Linked DNA regions of Caenorhabditis elegans. The protein of the gene in region 2 purifies or fractionates together with the protein of the main gene of each other region. This does not show direct contact. Each region holds a gene or a part of one and is shown on either strand. Other genes may lie near its edges.

Region 1 (6,660 bases), on a different chromosome or scaffold from region 2:
GCTTGACCACATGTTCACTCCACCAAATGCAGCTGGATACAAAGGATTCGTCGCGGACGGGTAAGGGATCGACGGCAAAATTGGGCGTGGAGGCTCAATATCTTCCAAATATTCAAATGGCGTCGAGGATCCATGCAATTTTTTGAGGTCACCTGGAAAATTAATTATTTTTTTAAAGCAAAAATATGATAAACTTACCGATCGTTTTATATTCTCCGTTTTCGCCTCTCTGAACTCGAAGTGATTCATCCGTAAAATAACCCGCTTTGAACCATACATTCATTTGATCTTTAGGGAAAGGACCACGACGAGTTTCTGTTGGATCCATGTAGTAAAACTGAACAGGTTCTTCTTTTACAATCGGAGCTGGTGGCTGTGGCGTTGGTTGATAGAAAATACCACCTCCCATCGAATTATTAGACCACGCTGATGGATCAGAAGGATATGTAGGAATAGGAAGATTCGGAACATCCGTTGATTCACTCTCTTGCCGAGAAGGAGCAGAAACTGGAGCAGATGAACGTTGTTGTTGTTGCTGTTGTTGTTGTGGTGGATGATTTTCTGTGGATGCCTTTCTAACCGCAGCAACCATGTGATTCCGATCTTTCCAAACAGTTGAATCAGAACCAACTTCTCGATTATTCCACAGAGTAATTGGAGGTTGTGCTTGCTGCTGAGTCGATTGCTGCTGTTGTTGTTGCTGTTGTTGCTGTGTACGTTGAATCCAAGATTCAGAACGAGCCCAAGCAGGACGTTCAGATGATTGAGGGGCCGCATTGGTGGAGGTTCGAGATGTACTTCCAACTTTCGACCATCCTTCCTCCTCTTCTTCATCGCTCTCGCTTCGAGTTGCAGCAGGATTCACCGCCTTTGGACGATCTATACCGATCATATTTTCAATCAGAAAATTTCCTTAAAACTTACCAGTTGGATCGTTCGGGTTGTACAAAGCGTCAGCTCTAGTGTTAAAAGCTGAACCCGTCGTGCTGCCACCACGACCGACGCTTCCCGCGCCACCGCCACGACGAAGTGCATTGAACTTTGATTGATATGTTCCAGGAGAATCTTCGTTTTGAGCAGCTGGCGAGCCACCATTGGTCGCGCCGCCAAACCCGTTTTCTCCGCCGATTCGTCCGCCACCACGGCCTGCAAAGAATGCTCCACTTGCTCGACCAACAGATCCACCACCACGAGGAGTTGTACCGGTGCCACGATCCGGTGTGCCTTTATCTAAACAATATTGTTTAGATTGTTTTTATTTTTTATGTATCAAAGTCTAATTACAAAAATTCGCAACACTTACTCCAAGATGATTTCGGAGCCCAGCGACTGGTTGGTGATTGTCCGTTTTGAAGTGCTCCGGAAGCGGCTCCATATCCACTTCCATAAGCAGCTCCAGCAGCAATTGAGGCTCGATCAGCGTGCGATAAAAGAGACATTGCTTTCGAAGAGTTTATGTTGTGTTGCAGTTTCTGAAAATGAAATATATAATTTTCATGAATAGGATTTGTTAGAAATTTTATTAGAGAATAACTACTCTACCACGGAACATAAACATGAAACGAAAAAACTAAGCATTTTCAACTTAAAAGTGTTTAACAAATAAACTTATTCGATAACACAAATTACTCCGATCATTAGGAAAGTGAAATGGTGGGATACGAACAGCAAAGAGCCTCATAAAGTCTCGCTATGCCTTCCTCCCTCCAAGGACACACTATACTTTTCTTGTTTAGACGAAAGAGTCAGTGAAACTGGATAAAATAGAAGTTCACATCAAATTCTAGAATACAATGTGCACACGAATAATAAAATATAGATCCTAAACATAGATCCTAAACAAATCTGTCAATTATCAAAAAAGTACCATGCAAAATTGGAAATCGTCAGACAATAGTGGGATAAATTTCATTATTTCTAATTCTAAAACTCTTGTGGTATCCCTACCTGTTCATGTTCACTGAGAGGCGTGTTCGAGACGAGCGGCAGGTTCTTCTCGTTGAAAAATAGCTGATCGCGCAACGCATCAGGCATAATCGATCCGGTTGGAGCCAGCTCGAGAAGACGTTCGCGCGTGTACGAGAATTCCGAAACCACTGGCGAAGAGAGGACCGCGGCGGCTGCAGCAGCGATTGCCGAAGAGGAGATTTCCTAATTGAACACATTTTCAGTTTTTTTTAAAAATAAGAGTTTTTTGTCATGGAGGGAGGGAGTCAGTGATAGCCCGACTTTGAGAGGTATATTCTAAAATCTAAATTCATAATTATTTAGTTTTTGATGTAATGTTGTGACAGACGATTATAATATTAAAACCGGGTACCACGGGGACCATGACCCAATAAACACAAAATTGTAAATAAATTATTTTCCTTTTTTTTCTAAATTTCTAGATTATGAGATGTGCTAAGAATATATTTGTGGAACGTGCTGGTTTTTTCCCGTAGATTCTGAAACTCACATCGCCGCCATCGTCAAATCCACCCCCACCAAATCCAGAGGAACGATTGTTTCCCGAAGAAATTGAGCCACCACGGTTAGCAGCATTTGGACGCATCCTGAAATGACTTTAACGCAATTTTAAGAAAGAACTTGTGGCTTGGATTTCTAATTGATTTTGCTAACTTTTATATTCTGGAATTCATATTATTCATTTTTTCAGCTGCAGTCAGCAAATTTGTGGTAAAAAAGGTACAAGTTTGAGAATTTGGGTTTTATTTTGGTTTTCGGCATTATTTATTTTATTTTTCTTTTAATATTGCTACAAACACGATCGAGTAGAGCCTTTTTAACAAAAAAATACGAGCGATAAACTTCTTAGTTGAAAAGAACGCATTTAAAAATCATTTGCTCTATGATTCAAAACTAGAGGTTAAAAATGAAAAATATCTTAGATTACTTGGAAAAAACTCCATTTAATTTTAAATAATAATTATTTTTTAAGATTCAAACACATACCAGCTTGGATTGAAATTTTGTTGAGCAGTTGGCTCGGCGGACGAAACTGACGACATTTTGAGTAGTTCTGTAAAACGAAATATAATTGAAACGCATACTTCAATATCCTTTTTTCAAAAATGAGATTAAAAAAAGACAAAAGGCTTATTCGAGAAGTTTCTATCATGATCAGATTGAAAATGTTTAGGATTCAACTTGTGTAACTCGTCAAAGGCCTAGTTTTGACCGCAGCGCAAAACCTCGGCCAACGAAAATTGCTTGTTCAAAGATGAGATACGCAGAGACGAATGTTACGTGGCAGAAGCCCGAGTAACTAATCTTATCAGGCATTTAAAAAACGAAAAGTTCAGATTACTATAAAAACTGTATTCTTAATTCTCATTTTAGCATGTATGCAAAGGGTAAAAGTTTATCGTGAGATATTGGTTCAATATCTAGCTGCCGGGCGGTGGTTGCGGACAATTTTCTCACCACACCCTGCGTCTATTTATTTCTCGAGACCACGCCACGAAACAAAGATTACTGAAATAAAGAGAAGCAGAGAAATGAGTTGCGTCGCGGTCGACCGCATCGCGCCTACTTTTTTCGGCCCCCCGAGCTACAACTTGGAAGAACAACAAAACGTTTCCACCTTTCTTTAGCCAGAAAATGTTGTGAATATATCGTTATCAAGCAAAAAAAAAGGCTATGTAAAATTAGGCATAATTTTTGAATTGATTTCTTGACTTTTCTTCGTATCCTTTGTAGCTTTTCGCGCAGATAGAACTTATTTTATTTGTTTGTTTAAGCTGTTGAATATATTCGTTATATTTAACAGTCAATCAATAAAGGTTCTCAAAATATAATCAAACGATATTTTAAATAGAATTACAATATTATTTGACTGCAAAAATGATGGAAATGTTATAATTGAAGAAAAATTGAGAAAACTCAATTTAAAACTAGCCTTACTTAAACGTTATCAATCAAAAAGATCGCCGAAAAGGGTAAAACGACGGAAACAAAAAAGGAACTACGGCGACCTTGCGGAAAGGGTGCTTCATACTTGATATATATCTTCTCCTCAAATTTCCAAAAATTCTAAAAACAAAAACACGATTAAAAATCGAGAAAATCAGGAAAGAAACAAAGAAATTCATCAGCAAGAAAATTGCGAAAATCGGGCGGGAAAATTTCAAGGTACGGTAGTCGTGACGAGACATGTTCAGATAAAGTTTGTCGTGTTCCTTAAAGCTACTGTAGGCAAAGATTTTTCAATTTTTTAATTAGTATTTTCCAATAATTTTTTTGCTGTTTCAGGAACAGTTCAGCATATTCAATGTAAATTTAATAAATAAATTTAGTGAAAAATTAATAAATCAGGTGAATCTTTGAAATGGATTGGTCAAAAGCATGTTATTGTATTCTTCCTGAAGTCGAATGCTCTGAAATTAAGTAAAATATTGTTAACTCGATTAGGAAAAAATCCACACCTCTGTTTTAATATCTTCGTAGTCAATTTCAGTCTTCCTCAAGCTCATGTCAAGTGATTTTGCAGCAGTACGTTTCTCAACAGCTTCCAGTCGTTCGCGAAGCATTTTGTGCTGGAATAAATTTATAATTGGTAAAACTAATATAGAACCATATCGACTCACTTGAGAGTATCCTGGAATTGAATGAAGTTCATTTCTTATACTTGCTACATTTGCTTCTAACTGTTGCATTTCATGTGAACGAGCTGGAGCTTCATCTTCAAGCCTTTTTTGACGTTCTTCAAGCTCTTGTCGGAGCCCATCTGAATCTACATTCTTCCCGACTCCCGCCAATTCCTGATCTATTTTTTTCTCCTCAGTTTCCAAATTATCAATTTCTTCATTTAACGCCAATTCCATATCCTCAATTGATATAAGCTCTTCTTGAAGTCGAACATGCACTGAAATAATATTTTTTAATGAGGGTTATTTTTAATCGCTCATCAAACCTACTTTCTTTAAGTTCATCCACATTTCCGGTCTGTAAAGTGAGACCTCGTTCATCTAAATCAGTTATCTGATCTTCTAGATTCACTTTCTTCAAATTGGCAGATATTTTTCTCAAAATCAGTACAACTGCGTCGGAGAATTCTTCAATGTCTTGCTGATAAATGACAATTTGCTGTGGATAATTTTCAGTCGTATCGTCAAGCATTGTGCTTTTCGAAAGTAGATCAAGATATTTTGTGTGATGAGCCACTGAAATATTATTATTTTTTGAATTCTGAAACTCGATTCTAACTTTTAATGTGATCTGCATGTCATGTTTTCAAAATTCAGATTTTCAGATTTTCAAATCCCATAATGGTCAAACTTGAACGTATTGATATTGTATTGCCATATTGAATGTATTGATTAGTGTCTGTGGGTATTTTGTTTCAAATGATTGAAAATGGACTGTAGTGCTTAAAATTTTTACAGCTCTAAAATGTATTAAAATTACATAAGCCACTTCAACCTTGCCAACTTAGGTTCATTATCTATCATATAAAACAAACTCTACTCCACCTATAAGACCGTGTACGCACAATTCCATGAAGAATTATTTGCGGTAAAACAATGACATATTTAATAGATACGTCATTTCAAATACCAAATACCAAACACAAATGCACAATAGTTTCTTATCAAAAAAAGGAAACGTACTGATTTGAGCTTCTCCTTGTGAGTCATACTCGTGTAATTCTTCTGAAGCCAATGAAATTTGATCTTTAACAGTTTTGTGTTGTTTCTCAATCACAACCAAATCTGCGTTCAATTGTTTCATATTTTCTGACATTTTATCTCTCCATGCTTCTGGTGTTAGTGCACTTTGCATATCTTCCATTAGTTTTTCCTCTTGTTTTTTGAGTGTATCCAATGTTTCTTGTAGTTGGATTGCCTTCTTTTTCAGTGGATTACTTCGAATTTCAATTTCATATTTTGAAATTCTATCATCTAAATCTTCATTTTTCGCTTCCATTTCTACAACTCTTTCTCTTAAAAGCTTCGCTTCAGACTTTAAATCTTCATATTTTTCTTTCATTTGAGGATCCATTGCATGTGTTACTGCTTCATTTAACTTTTTTTGTTCTTCAACTTCTATTTCCAATCCTTGAAGTTCCTCTTCTTTTGCACGACGTTCATTAAATACTTCTTCAGCTAATGATCTCATCTATAATTATATAAATTATAACTTAAAGTGATCTTTCATCTACAGTAATCTAACCTCATCAGCTTGTTCCTTCATTTTGCTTGCTTCTAACTCAATATCCGACATATCGCCATTCAAATGAATTTTTTCCATTATTTTATTCAAATCCAATAATTTTCCTTGCAAATCACTAATCTCTTGTGCTTGAGCAGATGCTCTTGATTCATATGCATGTAGCTCATTTCGATCTTTTATTCCTTTATCTCGTTTCTCTTTCATACGAGATATTTCAACTTTTATAGCGTTTTGTTTCGCTCGAAGAACTCCGATGTAGTATGATTTGTCAAATACTTGACGGGAGTCTGGAAAATGTTTGATTAAAATTTAGAATGGAGTCTAGAATATACATACTTCCAGTTCCCATTCTTGACGGAGGAGCTCGTAATCCTTGTTGAGTAACTGGTCTCAATCCGGCTGTTGGAGGTCTTGCCATTCCAGTCATTGGGCGTCCACCCATCTGGAAATGTATTAAAAATTTTGAAAAATATGTATTTACTATTG
Region 2 (11,284 bases):
AAAGAACAGCCATTCGCACTATTTTCTGTAAACACCAAGTTTTTGAATTCTCGCCATATGGCAGAAAAGCCAGCGTGAGACGGGCAGGTTTAAGGCAGGCGTCAGGCCCTGAAACCGCGCCTACCAACCATAAAGCCCTACGCTACGTTTAAAATTTAATCAAACTTTAATATTTTCTCATCATATTATGAACATGTAGCAGAAAAGTATGCAGTACAATTACTACTACAACTTTCTCAAGTTCAGGTTTTTTCTATCATGAAATTTCGAATAGCCTCTCAACTTAAAAATAAGTATTTTGGAAAATGTTTATATTTTGAATATAAATGAGCGTAATAATTTGGTACTTGTGTATTACATGCCCTCATTTTCAAAATAAATTAAATTGTCATTAATTTCTCCAATAAAAATAAACGTAATATACATTTTTCCTCTTTTGGCTTAGAAAATGTTATTTCCTAAGCCTAAAAATACAAACTGTGGTTCACGTTTTTATTTTTCATGGCTTAAAAATTACTATTAAAATGAGGGCATGTAATACACAAGTACCAGAAATTTTTTAAAACCTGTTGTTTTCAACGAATTTTTTTTTGATTTTTCACTTAAAAAATCATCTTTTGAAACATCTGTTTCAAAATAACGAAATAAAAAAATCCCATTTAAATCTTTCTGTCCTATGCTTTGATAAAATATATGATTCGTTTCTTGGCGGGTTCCCCCGTCATAACTACAAATGTCATGATATTTAGACGTAAGAGTGCAACTCCTCAAGCAAAATAATTCATGGTTCTCTGTATCGTGTTTTTTTTTGTTTGCAACCAGTATTATCCTATTCATGGAAAACAAATAGCAGGATAGCGGAAGAACTATCAAACAAAATAATCATTTTCTAGTGAGAAATATGTCAGTTGGTGTCTCGAAGGTCTCTTCATTCCGCCATTCGGTGACAGCGGATCATAAAAAATAAATGGATTTTTTGCGGGACACAAAACCCTCCCATCGAACATCTTGACACTGATGGAGGATGTGGGATGCAGAGACAAAATTGATGGGAGATAAAAGAAAATGCTGGAGCGTCGAGACAGAAAAAAGGTTATGATTAAGATTAAGTCTAAATCAATGAATAAATGTCTTGCACTTTTTTTTTATTTCTCAACCACAACTAACAGTATCGACTGAGAAGGAAATAATGAAGGCCTGCGGGAGTTGTAAATGGGGGGGGGGGGGGGGTGATAATATCGCAACAATTTGATAGGAAGATGAAAATGAAAACTAATCCGTGTGGATATCATCAAGCAGCTGCCCCCGATTCACCCCCAATCATTATTACACCACAACACTATTCTCATCAAATCCAGATGTTTTGCATTTCGTGTGATTGACAAGAATGATTAGCACGACGGATTACTTCAAACAAACATTTCGAAATTCGATTTTACAGATTTTTAGTTGTTTGTGAAGTTTTAAACTTTTTATGAAAATTGGAAAATGCTCAAAATTCAGGATTATTGGCAGAACAAGGTGTAATAAAATTTTAGTTCAAGCTCTATCAGTTATATTCAACAGAGATCTGAAACCGGAAAATGTGCTTATTGGCTGCCCACTGTATGCTCCGATAGGTCTGCAATTTACCGATTTGCTGGAAATATTAATTTTCGGCAAATTGTCGATTTGCTCGTTTACCAAACATCAATTTGCCAAAAGTCTTTAGAAGGATTTTCAATAAGACGGAAACACCTAAAACTGTTCCTATTTGAAAATTGAATTTTTTTGCCCGTTTTTATAGATATTTCCATTGAATTTGCTTACTTTTCAAAATAAATACAGGAACATTCATAGACTGCGTATAGTTATGCCGTTTAAAATTCAGAAAGTTCCAAAAAAATATGCAAAACCATAATTTGCAGAAAATTTTCGACAAGTGTCGTTTTTCCGGAAAATTCGACATATAGGCAATTTACCGGTTTTCCGATTCGCGATAAGTTTTTAATTCCGTCAATTTTCCAACTTTGCCGATTTGCCGATTTTCCTGAAAAATCGTTTGCCGACCACCCCTGATTTATGCACATAGTAGTCGTTTTCTTGAATTTTTTAATGGTCAAACTTTAATCAAAAGGTAACAATTAATTTATTTTTATGATACATACATACAATAAAAACGATTTTCGGTGCTAAACATTTGACGGAAAGGAGGGATATGAACTGGCAAAGTTTAGCAAAAAAGTTCTCAACAAAAAAAACCTCCTATTTCAAAAATATGAATAGTTAGAACTCCTAGTTATCAAGCAGTAGTAATGAAGCTAATTGAAACAATTTTCAAATTTGAGAGTTCGTCAGTTTGAGTTTTTGGAAGAATAGGTTAGTTGAAATCAAATCAGAGACGATTGGAAATTAGATTTGCTAGATTTGTATCCAATTTTTCGCAATTTCGGGAAAAGAAAACACACACAGCGAGAGGATGATATAAATGTGAAACACTGCCCATGTTTGTTGCAATGCAAAAAATGGGGAGAAAAAGGGAGAAGATAAAAAAGTGCGTGGAAGAAGGAGTATAAGGGGGGGGGCAGTGAAGATGGAGAATCAGGTCAGACAGTGTCACAAGCCGGAGAGGAAAACGAATCATTCATTAAAAAACAGGACTCCACTAAAGATGGGAAATAAGAATAAAAACATAATTGGAAAAGAAACAACTTGAATCATCATCATCACACTGAATGTGAGATATCATCATGTATCAATTGGGAAATTTAGAGACAACATTTCAAAAACAGCAGTTTTTGCAAGACTATGTAGATAATGTGTAGGATCATTGATTGCAAAGTTAACTGCTTTTTCGAAACTTTCTTATCAGCTCTGGAGTGATTTGCAAATTTAAAAAGTTACGGTTATATGTACATAAGAAAACGTGTTTTATTTATTTTTGTTCTAGCAGTGTGTCGGTGAAAAAAACAATTCCTGAAAAAAAATTGCATCTTTAATATCCCAAAATACACGCGATTAGGTGAGAGATAAAAAAGGTGATATAACTGCACATTTTGAGGGCAGCAGGATGTTAGAGTGTTGCTGAGTAAAAGAACCACAAATAAAAATAGATAAAAATAGAAAACGTCGAGACAAGTGATAATCAACAAGACTGAATCTTGCAGTAGAAATATTATGTGAAAATTACAACTGACAATTTTTTCATATAAGTTTATTACAAACAATTGAAAGAAAAACTATACAAATTTTAAATAAAAAACACAAGCATAATACATGCATACTTTGATTTATTTTTTGATAACAGAACTCTCGGATTCTTGCGTCTCTTCCTCTTCCAGTATTGCCTTTTCCTTGTAGAAGTGGTGACCACTGTCACAAGCATTGTAATTGTAATGTTCGGTATTTGCATGATTTCGCTTGACAGATTCTAGGAGTTCACCAGCAATACATGGAACTGGACGGTATTGGTAATCCTGAAATATAACTATTGGACCATTTTTCAAAACCTTTAATAAGACATACAATGTCGTAGCTACTACCAGCGTTTTGAGTCAGGTACCCTGCGTGATGAGATGTTGTCAGTCTTGAACCGGAAGAAATGCTGTATCCCTCGAAACCGGATTCGGATTCTGAAAAAAAACGACATTGCCAATTTTGGCACTTCACAACTGAACTGAAAACAACAGAAAATAACAAACCTTCCATAAAATTGGAAGTCTCATAGATATGTGATCGACTTTGAGCAACTGAGCTGCTGTCTCGTTTTGCTTTCAAGATTATTCCGCTCTGTGCCACGATATCACTTGTCAAATCAACAAACTCTTCTTGGTGCACAGTTTTGGCATCAAATTTACGGCCCTCCGATGATAAAATTTTGTGTTGAATAGGAACTGATCTAATCACTCTCTCGTTTCTTCTATGTATAAAGTCTTCTTGGTTCTGTGTCTTTGCTTCGAAATGTTGACCATCTCCTTGCAGGATCTTATTGTCAGATGGAACCTTCTTGGCATACCTCTCTCCACTGATGTGAGTGAAGTCTTCTTGGTTCTGTGTCTTTGCTTCGAAATGTTGACCATCTCCTTGCAGGATCTTGTTGTCAGATGGAACCTTCTTGGCATACCGTTCTCCACTGATGTGAGTGAAGTCTTCTTGATTCTGAGTTCTTGCTTCGAACTGTTGACCATCTCCTTGCAGGATCTTATTGTCAGATGGAACCTTCTTGGCATACCGTTCTCCACTGATGTGAGTGAAGTCTTCTTGATTCTGAGTTCTTGCTTCGAACTGTTGACCATCTCCTTGCAGGATCTTATTGTCAGATGGAACCTTCTTGGCATACCGTTCTCCACTGATGTGAGTGAAGTCTTCTTGATTCTGAGTTCTTGCTTCGAACTGTTGACCATCTCCTTGCAGGATCTTATTGTCAGATGGAACCTTCTTGGCATACCGTTCTCCACTGATGTGAGTGAAGTCTTCTTGATTCTGAGTTCTTGCTTCGAACTGTTGACCATCTCCTTGCAGGATCTTATTGTCAGATGGAACCTTCTTGGCATACCGTTCTCCACTGATGTGAGTGAAGTCTTCTTGGTTCTGAGTTCTTGCTTCGAACTGTTGACCATCTCCTTGCAGGATCTTATTGTCAGATGGAACCTTCTTGGCATACCGTTCTCCACTGATGTGAGTGAAGTCTTCTTGATTCTGAGTTCTTGCTTCGAACTGTTGACCATCTCCTTGCAGGATCTTATTGTCAGATGGAACCTTCTTGGCATACCGTTCTCCACTGATGTGAGTGAAGTCTTCTTGATTCTGAGTTCTTGCTTCGAAATGTTGACCATCCCCTTGCAGAATCTTATTGTCAGATGGAACCTTCTTGGCATACCGTTCTCCACTGATGTGAGTGAAGTCTTCTTGATTCTGAGTTCTTGCTTCGAACTGTTGACCATCTCCTTGCAGGATCTTATTGTCAGATGGAACCTTCTTGGCATACCGTTCTCCACTGATGTGAGTGAAGTCTTCTTGATTCTGAGTTCTTGCTTCGAACTGTTGACCATCTCCTTGCAGGATCTTATTGTCAGATGGAACCTTCTTGGCATACCGTTCTCCACTGATGTGAGTGAAGTCTTCTTGATTCTGAGTTCTTGCTTCGAAATGTTGACCATCCCCTTGCAGAATCTTATTGTCAGATGGAACCTTCTTGGCATACCGTTCTCCACTGATGTGAGTGAAGTCTTCTTGATTCTGAGTTCTTGCTTCGAAATGTTGACCATCTCCTTGCAGGATCTTATTGTCAGATGGAACCTTCTTGGCATACCGTTCTCCACTGATGTGAGTGAAGTCTTCTTGATTCTGTGTCTTTGCTTCGAAATGTTGACCATCCCCTTGCAGGATCTTATTGTCAGATGGAACCTTCTTGGCATACCGTTCTCCACTGATGTGAGTGAAGTCTTCTTGATTCTGAGTTCTTGCTTCGAACTGTTGACCATCTCCTTGCAGGATCTTATTGTCAGATGGAACCTTCTTGGCATACCGTTCTCCACTGATGTGAGTGAAGTCTTCTTGATTCTGAGTTCTTGCTTCGAACTGTTGACCATCTCCTTGCAGGATCTTATTGTCAGATGGAACCTTCTTGGCATACCGTTCTCCACTGATGTGAGTGAAGTCTTCTTGATTCTGAGTTCTTGCTTCGAACTGTTGACCATCTCCTTGCAGGATCTTATTGTCAGATGGAACCTTCTTGGCATACCGTTCTCCACTGATGTGAGTGAAGTCTTCTTGGTTCTGTGTCTTTGCTTCGAAATGTTGACCATCCCCTTGCAGAATCTTATTGTCAGATGGAACCTTCTGGGCATACCTCTCTCCACTGATGTGAGTGAAGTCTTCTTGATTCTGAGTTCTTGCTTCGAACTGTTGACCAGCTCCTTGCAGGATCTTATTGTCAGATGGAACCTTCTTGGCATACCGCTCTCCACTGATATGAGTGTAATCTTCTTGATTCTGAGTTTTACTTTGTTGATCAGTTTTGTTGGTGGATGTTCTTGATTGCTGGGAATACAATATGTGATGATCCGAAGGATGTCTAATCTGGGTATGTTCAGCTTTCCGATAAATAAAGTCTTCTTGGTTTTGAGTTGTATGTGCCATATTTTGTTTCCCATGTATTTCTCTGTGAGTGGCGCTGTGTCTGTCGTGCGCCTTGACTGCTTGTTTTTTTGAATACTTTGGTGAATTAATATTGTCCTGCGGAGTTTTATTGCTTGTATTCTTTGACGATGTTGCTCGATCTGCTCCAGATTCTTTAAACAGTTCGTTAATTTGACTGTTATTCCTGGGGGAGTAGTTTCGATTGACATTCACTTCGATTAATTTGTGTTGTTGGTTGTTTGTTCCATTTTTCTCGGCACGCGTTTGCACTTTTGCATTATCAATTGATGTGCCACTGTTACTGTTATCTTTCAACTCGGCTATCTGTAATTTTTTCTTCAGTGTCCATCATTCACTATTAACTATACCTGATGAAGCCTCCTCGCTTCGAATACTTGACTTGAATTTCGATGTGTTTTTTGATATCCAGTAATTTGTTCGTTAATGCTCACAGTTTTCTTTGCACCCGTTAAAGTCGATTGCCGTTTCGATTCTGCAGAGTTTGCACGTTCTTCGCTGTGCTGCCGTAAAGCTTGTTGAATCGAACTCCGACTATTTCGTTCTCTTCCAGACTGAGATGTTGCTCGACCATTGTCGGCTTTCAATATTGGTGGTAGCTGAAAATGTTACGCTTAAAGTTATAAAACTGCACAAATTTTTTAAAGTAATTAGGAGTTATAGAATAAAAGTTTTCAAGAAATTTTGTGAAGCAATTTGGCCTTTTTTTAGTTGATCTAATTATGCGTAAACACAATTTTTAAGTACTACCTAAGAACCTGAAGCTCTCACTTACTTGAACAGTTTCTCTCTGTGTTGACCTTGTCTCTGCCACACTTTGCTCTCCATTTTGTGTCTTTGCTGTAAGAGTATTAAAATTGATGTTTTCTTGAATGCTCTCTCACCTCGATACTCTGATGATTTTATATTTCTTGTTTGAGTTCCACCAGTTCCGGTGTTATTTTCCTCTGTGAATAAGGATGAGATTGTTGAGTAATGACGTGTTGGTGTTGTGCGTTGTGATTTTTGATGATAGCTTGATGATTCGAAGGAAGTCTGCAAGTTAGAAAGTTAGAAATGTTTTAAAAGTTTATCTGAAGTCGTCAGTAATTCTGCATGATAAATATGCATTTCTACAATCTTCTTACTTTGGTAAAAACGTTACTCAAAAAGTAATCATATTCGAATGAATTTTTAATGGACAACTTATATGTACATATCTCGTGTTTTTTTTGGCGTATAGACGTGCACCACTAAAAAGCAAAATTTTCTCGCAATTAGTTATGTGTTTTGGAAAAACACCAATGAAATTTTTTTTTAGTATCATAGTGTAAAAAAAGGATTACCTGAGTAATTGATTTTTCCTGACTCAAGCCAGTCTTTCCATCTCCTAATTGAAAACTACTTGCGTTCCTATCGTGTGGACACTTGTGACGCCTGAAACATTCATACCAATTTCATGTGTTCTAACACAACAAAAACCAACCCGCATGTGCAAATTTGACAAATGCATTTGGCCCCGTGAGACATGAGACTTCTGAAAACAATTGGTTCAAAATGGAAAATTGATGAGATGTGCTGTCAAGTTTTGAAATGATGATAGACATGCCGAAAACTTTCAATGGCAAAAAAAAGAATAAGAATAAGAGTTGTTAGTTATGATAGTGATAAGATGAATGTCGCAATATGTTTATCGAAAGCGCATTAATGTGCTGAATAAACATTCGAGTAAAGGAAATTTGCCATATTATAGCGAACATCAGATTGTGCCGACAAAAAGAAAATTGCAGGAAAGGGCGAGTTTAACTGTAAATTTCGGCGGTCAATTTTATTAAAAATAAAATAAACGTTTCAATTTTATTTTTTTGAAAACAAACACGTCGTGTTTTCAAGTTGTTGTTTGGCTGTTTTCCAAAAAAAAAAAACTGAGACATCAAAAACCATGGAAAGTTCTTGTAGAAATCCTAAGTCTGTTGAAAAAAGTTATTAAACGAGAACAAAATATTTCTATTTTCTTATCACTAACGTTAACGAAAATCATATTTATCAAACTCTAATGACATTAACTGAAATTTTATGAACAGGAGATGAACTACAGATTGTTCGAATTTTGATTTAATATTTTTTTAAATTGGAGTTTTATTAAAATGAAAAGCAATATTTTGAACTGATAATTGAAAATTGTGAACATTTTACTATTAGACTGGGAACTTAGCGGCCAAATTAATTTATACTTCCTAAATAAAATACCTTAATTAAAAATTGTATCATATTGACATTAAAGTTTGTAGTTGAATGGTTTAGCTTTTTTTTTAAATAAAACCTAATGAAACTTTATAGGTGTAGTTTAGGGTTATGAAACAAGTATTTTGTTGTTTTTTGTAAAAAAAAATAATTCAACATGCTTGAGACTATTCATAATTGATTCACTTCTCAGGATGTTGTAAATATAATCAATTTTCCAACTGCAAAAAAAACATACAATTATTATTATTTTCATAAGTAATAATCCTTTGACAAAGCCTCGTATACTTCCATTACATGATGGTTTATGTACTTTATGATTAAGAAATTTTTGAAATGTTTGACAATAGTGACTTGGTAAACTAAATTTTAAGATTTTTGTTTTCAGAAAATCTGATTCACAAGTTACAAATAATTGCTAACAATCATTTTACCAAACGCATGATTGAAGGGAACACGAATAAAAGAAGCCGATCTCAAATCTTAAAATAAGGAATTTTAAAATTTTCTGACATATGTATAAACTCATGAGCAATACCAATATCTTTGGCTAGGTGACGAAAAAGCAAAAAAAAAAAAGAAAAAATGGGTGAAAAGAACGAAGAAAATTTTTCATGGAATAGGCAGAATAGAAGAAAAAAAAACATCCTTCTTTTCTTGCGAATGAAAAATAGATTTAGATGAATAAAGCAGACTTGAAGAGGAAAACCGAGGAGAAAGAGAAGGATGAAGAGAGTGGGGAAAACGGGAAGAGAGATACGGAAAAACTGCGTACATTTTTGGCTTGATGTCTAATATGGAATAGTTTAACAAGCTGCTCTCATATAGCGCATGGCACCGAAACTTTGTTGTCTTGTTCGTATGTACACATCAAAATGCTTCACCCTCTTCTTCTTCCCCCCATATCTGCCATTTGCACACGTTGCTATGGGCTCTTTATTCCGTCATCCCCCCCCTGTCTTCTCCGCTCTCCTCATTTGCCGCCATCCTTTTGCTCATACGTTTGTCTCTTTGTCGAAATTTTTCGTACTTTCACACGGGTAGTAGGTGCAGATTTTGGGCGAGTTTGGAGGTAGGAGAAGAGAGGAGAAGATAATTGGCACTCAGCATAAAAAAAAAGAGAGAGGACAGGGGGACGAATTTTGGAGTGTTTTTAAAAACAACAAGTCAGAAATCGCTGTGGGATTACCGCTTTCCGCGGAACTTTCTGACTTGGAAATCTACTTGGAATTTCGGTTTTGAGTAAGAATGGGCTCAGAAATAAAAATGAGGGCAGAGCCGAAAAGGAATATATTGATGACAGTCGCGGAAGGGATTTTATACAACGTTGGTAAAAAATTCAATATTCATACAATAAATTAATGAATTAAGGTAGGCTCAAAATGACTCCAAAAAGAGCAAGAATTTGAAGAAAAAAAAATTTATGTGAAGTAGCGTCAGTGGGAATTTAGTCTAAATAGACTTATAATATTCCAAAACGGCCAAATATTATAATAAAACACTCCAACAAATTTCAGGTTTTTCATAAAAAAAATTTGTAAATTGCCAAAATTGGAAAAATATGAGCTTTTGAGAAAATCCAAAGCAATGTCGCATGTTTCGACCCCAACAATATTTTAGACCGAATAATTAAAACAAAATCACCATATAAAAAATAGAGAAAAACAATTTTTTTTTGGTCGACTTCCAAAACTACGAGTGGCAAAACTGATAATTAATTGTCACTTTTTGACAGTAAACAAAAACATTTCAAAAAATTTTTGAAATGTTTTATTATGATATTCGGTCATTTTGGCACCATAGAAGTAGTTTTTCACACTTTGCTCACAGGCACTACTCCACCTTTTAAATATTCATCCCAGTTAAAAAACATCGATAAAAATAATAATATCCAGATAAATGTGTTAAAACCTTGCAGATTTTATTTTTGCCGATTCAATGTTTATTCTTATTTTCTGACTATAATTTTAAAATTCAGAAAATATCTTTAAAAAAAGGTTTATTAGCATTTATATAATTTAAAAATAAACTTATCTTTATTATTCTCCTTAAAACGACCAAGCAAAATTATCGAAGTGAAAATATCATAAGTTATAATTTTGAAACAATTTCCTTCTACACTTTTTTTCAAAATATTTTTATACACATCAAATTAGGTTCAATCGAATTATAAATTTTCTGAATATATGTAAACAGTTTTCAATTGTCGCAAAAACCTTCTTACAATAGAATTACCACAACTTGAACGCTACATCTAAATGCCCTTAATGCAATTATAGCAATTGAAACATTGAAACATTGATTTTGTTGGAACAAAGAGATCTAGGAAAACACTAATTTTGTGAATGCACGCGAACTTCCAAATAAGAAAGTTTCTCCAAAAATTGCAACTTCTAAAGAATAGAAACTTGGAACAATTGGAAGAGGGAGTTGGGAGAAAAAAACACAAAAAAAATAACGAGTTTTCGACTGGCCAATTTTGAGTGAAATCATGAGCGGCGGGAATTTTTGTTTCTCTGCGGACGGCCAACCAAATACGAATCGGTTTTCACTTCTTCCTTCTCTGTTGTTGCCCTCGTTTTTTTTTCAAATTTGAGGTTGCGGGTGGCGGTTTCAATGATCATCGGGAGTATTTTGTTTACTATCTGTCACGCAAAAATGGAGTGTGCGACAAGTGTAATGAGTTAGTTGTGCCAAAAATAGGAAAATGTTTTATGACCAATGTATCGTATGATCTAGATGAGATGTGCATCACATCGTTCGCATTGCTCCATTTCGAAAATTAATTTCTGTAAACAGAGCCATCATTTGTGCTCCAAATATTGTTTGCAATATTAATCTGTAATTAGTCGGTACTGAAACTTCTGGGAAAAGCTTTGAAATAATATAAAAAGGGAAGTACAGTTTGTGGGTATTTTTCTTT
Region 3 (4,746 bases), on a different chromosome or scaffold from region 2:
GAAATTCAGTTTTTTTGAAGAGAATATTATATTTCAAAGTATTTAGATGCGTTTTTCCATTCTCTCACAATTCTATGCTTTAAATAACGTCAATATTTATAACTTTAAAAAAGAAAAAAGAAGACACAATAAAAAAGAATGCGTGTTGGCCAGTTTGTGCATTCCGACGTGGTGGTGTTTGCGGACATTACACCAAGTGACGGTACGAAAATTGTTGGCCGTAGTAGATTACTGTCGATATTAAAAAAATTCAATTCAATATCCAGCACAAATTGGTGGTATTTATAAAATTTACAACGATAATCTTCTAGGAATGATTTTAAATATTTCAATGAGTTTTTTAAAATTCGAAATCACGGATAAAATGTGTTTTCGAGGATTGCAGTATCCCCTGTGATTCTTGCACTATAGGGAAAATATCTATATTTATTGCATTCCTGAATATTCCAGTTATACTTTATTTTTATAGAAAATAGGATCGAAATGTTTTCTCTGAAAAATTTGAAGTTGCAATCCAAAATTGTTATTTTAAAAAGATTTATTTCAAGAAAAAAGAGTATATATAAGTTGGTAAGTTTAGTGAAGACAGTCACGTCCTTCTCCTGGGAAAGATCCAGCAAGTTGAATGACTCCGGCATCGTAAATATTACGGACAGTCTGAAAATATTAATTTCAGTTTACTTCCAGTTTTTTTAATCTTCTTACCTTTCCCTTGTTGATGTAGCTATCTGGGATCTTGATAGTGAACTTGCGTTGGCAGGGCTGAAAATTCAATTATCTTAAAATGTAATAAAGTCATCCAGAAACCTTAATTCCATCATTGCAGTCATGGTAAATGTTAAGTTTTGGGTCGATTGGAGTCACTTCATCTTCGTGTCCAGAAATTTCAAAATCTCCGTTGCCATTGGTCTTTCCAGAAGCCATCAAATCATCGGCATCGATTCCTAGAAATAGACTTTTAGGAAATATTCAAAAAAGTTTTTGATTACCTCTATCATCATCATACAACTTGACCAAAACTCCAACAGCTGGTTTTCCATTGCAGATCAGTTTTCCACGTACTCCAGCCGATTGGGTATTTCCAATTAAAGCATAGCTTGAGGCAACAAGGCACAAAAGGATTATAAGCTTCATTCTGAAATTCTTTTGTTGAGAACAAAATGATAAAGTAAAAAAGGCCGGGATGGAAGAATGGAACCAACAAAGAACCAATAGCTATGCTCTCAGAAAACAACATGTTTACGAAATCTCAGGAAAAGATAAGAAAAAGAAGATAATTCGGAAAAAAAGAGAGATTTGTTGTTATATATCTTTTTGATAAAAAAAAAGCTTGACAGAAAAGTGTGGTTGTAGTCCACAAATTGTATTAGTTTCCATGGAAAATAAGTAGATTTAATCAATTTATATACACCTGTACGAGAAAATATACTAAGAGATGATCTGATTATTTGTTACCTCAAAGTATATCATTTTCAAAACAAATGGTGTATCAGACAATTGTAAACAAGTCAAACACCAACTAATTCATTAAAAAACATAAAAAACAAAAGTGACCTTTCAATTAGAATCAAACAAGTAGTCATACCTGGGAAACTCTAGCCAGGAAAACGTATCCGAAACTGTATGAAAAAAAATACAAAGAGAACAAACTCAATAAGATATGCCAAAGGTTGATGTCAACATTATGACCAAAACCTAAAAACAAACATCCGGCAAAGAGAAAGGTCAGAATAGGCATGTACGAAGGTAAATGGTTAACATGCAGGCTCTTAGGTAGACAGACCCACGATCATCATATTTCCCAACTAACATTCTTATTTACATGCCTGTTGCATGCCTTCCTTACGCCTGAAAGTGTTTAATTGAAGAATGTATTACTCAAAACACCTGCTTTCCTTTAACCTTCGATATAATTTTTGTTTAGTATATTTGTTTCTTTTCAACATTTCATTATTCTCCTTTCCATAGTAACACACCCAACAAAAAAAATGTAAAGAAAAGGGAATTATAGATTAGCTCCAAGCATCGTCCTTCTTTCCAAACTTTCTTCAAAATATTTTTTTACAACTATTATTCTTCCCCCAATGTCGTCATCTAGGAACTTTGATCTGGAGTACGACGATTACAAAGAACGACGGAATGCTGCTGGAATGGGAAGTCGTGCGAGCTCGAGGAATGGTGGAAGATTCAAGCCAATAGACAAAGAAAAAGAAAAAGAGAAGAAAGAGATTGGAGATTATGGATTGTAAGTACTTTTTTGATTTCTGGATTCATTGTCAGAAGTCAGTTGTATTAATAGCTTTCAAAATCCTAGACATCGTGCAGTTTTTCATGATCCGTTACCTCACTAGATACCTTGCAGACCCAAAAATGAGTATAAAATGCAAGGCTACGACGAACGGAGCTCAGATGTTGGAGCCGATCCATTGGCATCAGTCCGAACTCTCCGTAACAATCTCCGAGTCATGTCCCTTGAGCATCGTGACAAGGACGAACCTGTCAAATCACATTTGTGCCAATCAGCTTGTGATGATCTATCAAAAGCCGAGAAACAACTTGTCGATTTGAGTCACAAGAGAAGCGACGCAGTTGTCAGAGGAGACTCACGGCAGGCTGAACAGATAGCAAAGGATATGGATAGAGTGAAGTCTGATGCAATCAGAAATGCATATTCAGATTTAATGATGGAAGATGGAACTATGAAAGCATTTGGAGTCAATTCAAAATGGACACCTGATAAGAATCCAATGCCATCAGATGATTGGAAGCCAATGACACCTATGAAACCTAGGAAAAGAGCTGAAACACCAAAAGGAAGAAAAACTGAAAGTAGGCAAAGTAACAGAGGAAATAATGATAATGGAGATCAAAGAATGACGTCAAAGGCAACCACAAGATCCCCAGAACGGAGAGTTATTCCAACGGAACCATCAAAAGTAGACTGACATTAAAATAATAAATATTGGAAAAATAAAGTAACATTTCAGCCAAAAACAACTAGAAAAAATCAGCGCCTTTCAACTATCGGACACGTTCCAGAGGCAATTCCAGTAGTCGATACTCCGTTGCCAGGAGGATCCACAGTTCAGGATGATCCATATAAAATGCCAACATATGTGGGGTAAGGGAAGAGATCTAAATGTATATAAATTTCTACATATTTTCTAATTTCCAGAAGATGCCCACATTGTCAATTAACAGAGTCAGGTCTTGGTAGAGCAGGTGGAATGGAAAAACACTTTGCTAAATATTGCAAAGTTATGACAAGTTGCAAGTATTGTATGAAGTTGACAATGGTAGGCTCTTTTTCAGGTTTAAATCGTAAATTTCCATTTAGGTATCTCAACTCACTGATCACTTAATATATCGTTGTGAATTTCTCCAAGACACGATGGAAGCTTGTAATGACTGTGGATTAGCAATTGAGAAAGAAGATCAAAAACGTGGAGGAAGTCATCCAATGTGTCGTGGAAGACGTCCCCCGACAGGAGCACAATGGTGTCCTTTGTGCACAATTGCAGTGGAGGATAATGAAGAGAATTGGAGAGAACATTTATTAAATAATTGTTATAATAATCAACGGAGAGATGGTCCAGAAAAAGATCCATGGGAGATGAAACAAGAGCAAGAAGATATTTTGTATGTTTTTGTTTTATTAGTTTCTGTGGTGGTACTTTTCTGAAAATCAGGGCTTGAAATTAATTTCGAAATGAATAGTTTAGCGAGTATATGAAGTTATGTGGTCCGCTGAGCGTGATGTGCACCTATAAATAGTTTCACTTATTTCCCTATACTTTCATTTTTTGAAGCAATGAACAAAGTTTCCAAAAAATGCAAAGATTTTAAGAGTTTATTATTTTGTTATTTGAATGCAGAAAACATCCGTACTGACCCTACAACACCTTTAATCCAATTTTTCAGACTTGGAGCAAAAGAAAAGAAGAAGCGTGAAATGGAGGAAGAAGAGCGACTGAAAAAAGAAGCGGAAATAAGACGGCAACAGCAACAAGTTGTTGTGAATAATACAGGATATCCTGGAAAAATGATCGACGCCGATAAGTTGGTGGTGGCTCTTCAAGAGATTCAAGAACGCAAGAAAGCAGAGAAAAAGAAGAAATTGAAGGATATTGAGAAGGAGACTTGAATACTGTGTTTTTTCTACTGCAGTTAACTGTGGCAGTTCATTTCTTGGTTCTCTTGTCGTGTCAAAAAAAAAGAACTGATATCTGTGCTGTCAAATTAGTATAATTTGTTAAATGAAATACGGTAATTGGATCACGATTATTGATGAATTATCAATTTGCGAATTATTTATTTATCTATATCTCTGTCCCCCATTTATTGTATTTTCCAAATTTGTAGTACATTTTTCCTGAAAATGCAAACTTTTTAAAAGTTCCGATGTAATAATAAGAATATATTTTTATTGACAAATACTTGGTGTACATATTATGCTTTTTATAAAAATATTATTACAGCACCCAATATCACAATCAAAAGATCATAACTGAACGTCTTCCCATTTTTAACCGCACTCTCTGCAATTGGCCTGTAATCTTCCTTATTCTTCGGACATCCATCAGCTGACCATCTGTACAAGTCCATATTAAAATAATGTGCATGGTCGGCATTTGACAGGTTCTGCACCTGACTGCTGAAAAAATCAAACATTTTTGTTGATAGTTGCTGATAAGAAATGTTGCGAAAACCTGCAAAACGGTTGATCTGCTTGCTCGCAAATGACAA

The links. The genes of interacting proteins can lie anywhere in the genome.
Region 1: the proteins of H03A11.2 (region 2) and gyf-1 fractionate together in Caenorhabditis elegans (co-fractionation; one large-scale study listed by BioGRID). This does not show direct contact.
Region 3: the proteins of H03A11.2 (region 2) and ttr-5 fractionate together in Caenorhabditis elegans (co-fractionation; one large-scale study listed by BioGRID). This does not show direct contact.

What each region holds. Positions count from the first base shown.
Region 1 is NC_003280.10:6,680,600-6,687,259, reverse strand, and holds the start of gyf-1 (GYF domain-containing protein gyf-1), read right to left. Parts: upstream 3,023-6,660; 5' UTR 3,012-3,022; coding exon 2,956-3,011; intron 2,565-2,955; coding exon 2,459-2,564; intron 2,152-2,458; coding exon 1,948-2,151; intron 1,728-1,947; exon of another isoform or gene 1,579-1,727; intron 1,473-1,578; coding exon 1,304-1,472; intron 1,231-1,303; coding exon 925-1,230; intron 880-924; coding exon 199-879; intron 153-198; coding exon 1-152. Other genes in the region: ift-74 (Intraflagellar transport protein 74 homolog), read right to left, coding at 4,314-4,379, 4,428-4,538, 4,590-4,867, 4,920-5,165, 5,613-6,120, 6,175-6,461, 6,511-6,616.
Region 2 is NC_003284.9:15,222,975-15,234,258, forward strand, and holds H03A11.2 (NLPC_P60 domain-containing protein), read right to left. Parts: upstream 7,672-11,284; 5' UTR 7,648-7,671; coding exon 7,604-7,647; intron 7,555-7,603; coding exon 7,464-7,554; intron 7,174-7,463; coding exon 7,023-7,173; intron 6,979-7,022; coding exon 6,914-6,978; intron 6,738-6,913; coding exon 6,489-6,737; intron 6,445-6,488; coding exon 3,681-6,444; intron 3,612-3,680; coding exon 3,505-3,611; intron 3,456-3,504; coding exon 3,270-3,455; 3' UTR 2,895-3,269; downstream 1-2,894.
Region 3 is NC_003281.10:9,326,705-9,331,450, reverse strand, and holds ttr-5 (Transthyretin-like protein 5), read right to left. Parts: upstream 1,136-4,746; 5' UTR 1,135-1,135; coding exon 990-1,134; intron 945-989; coding exon 808-944; intron 763-807; coding exon 706-762; intron 658-705; coding exon 577-657; 3' UTR 523-576; downstream 1-522. Other genes in the region: cepr-104.1 (CEntrosomal Protein Related), read left to right, coding at 2,085-2,245, 2,363-2,936, 2,988-3,121, 3,176-3,296, 3,338-3,639, 3,922-4,144; C40H1.7 (Fungal lipase-type domain-containing protein), read right to left, coding at 4,459-4,654, 4,710-4,746.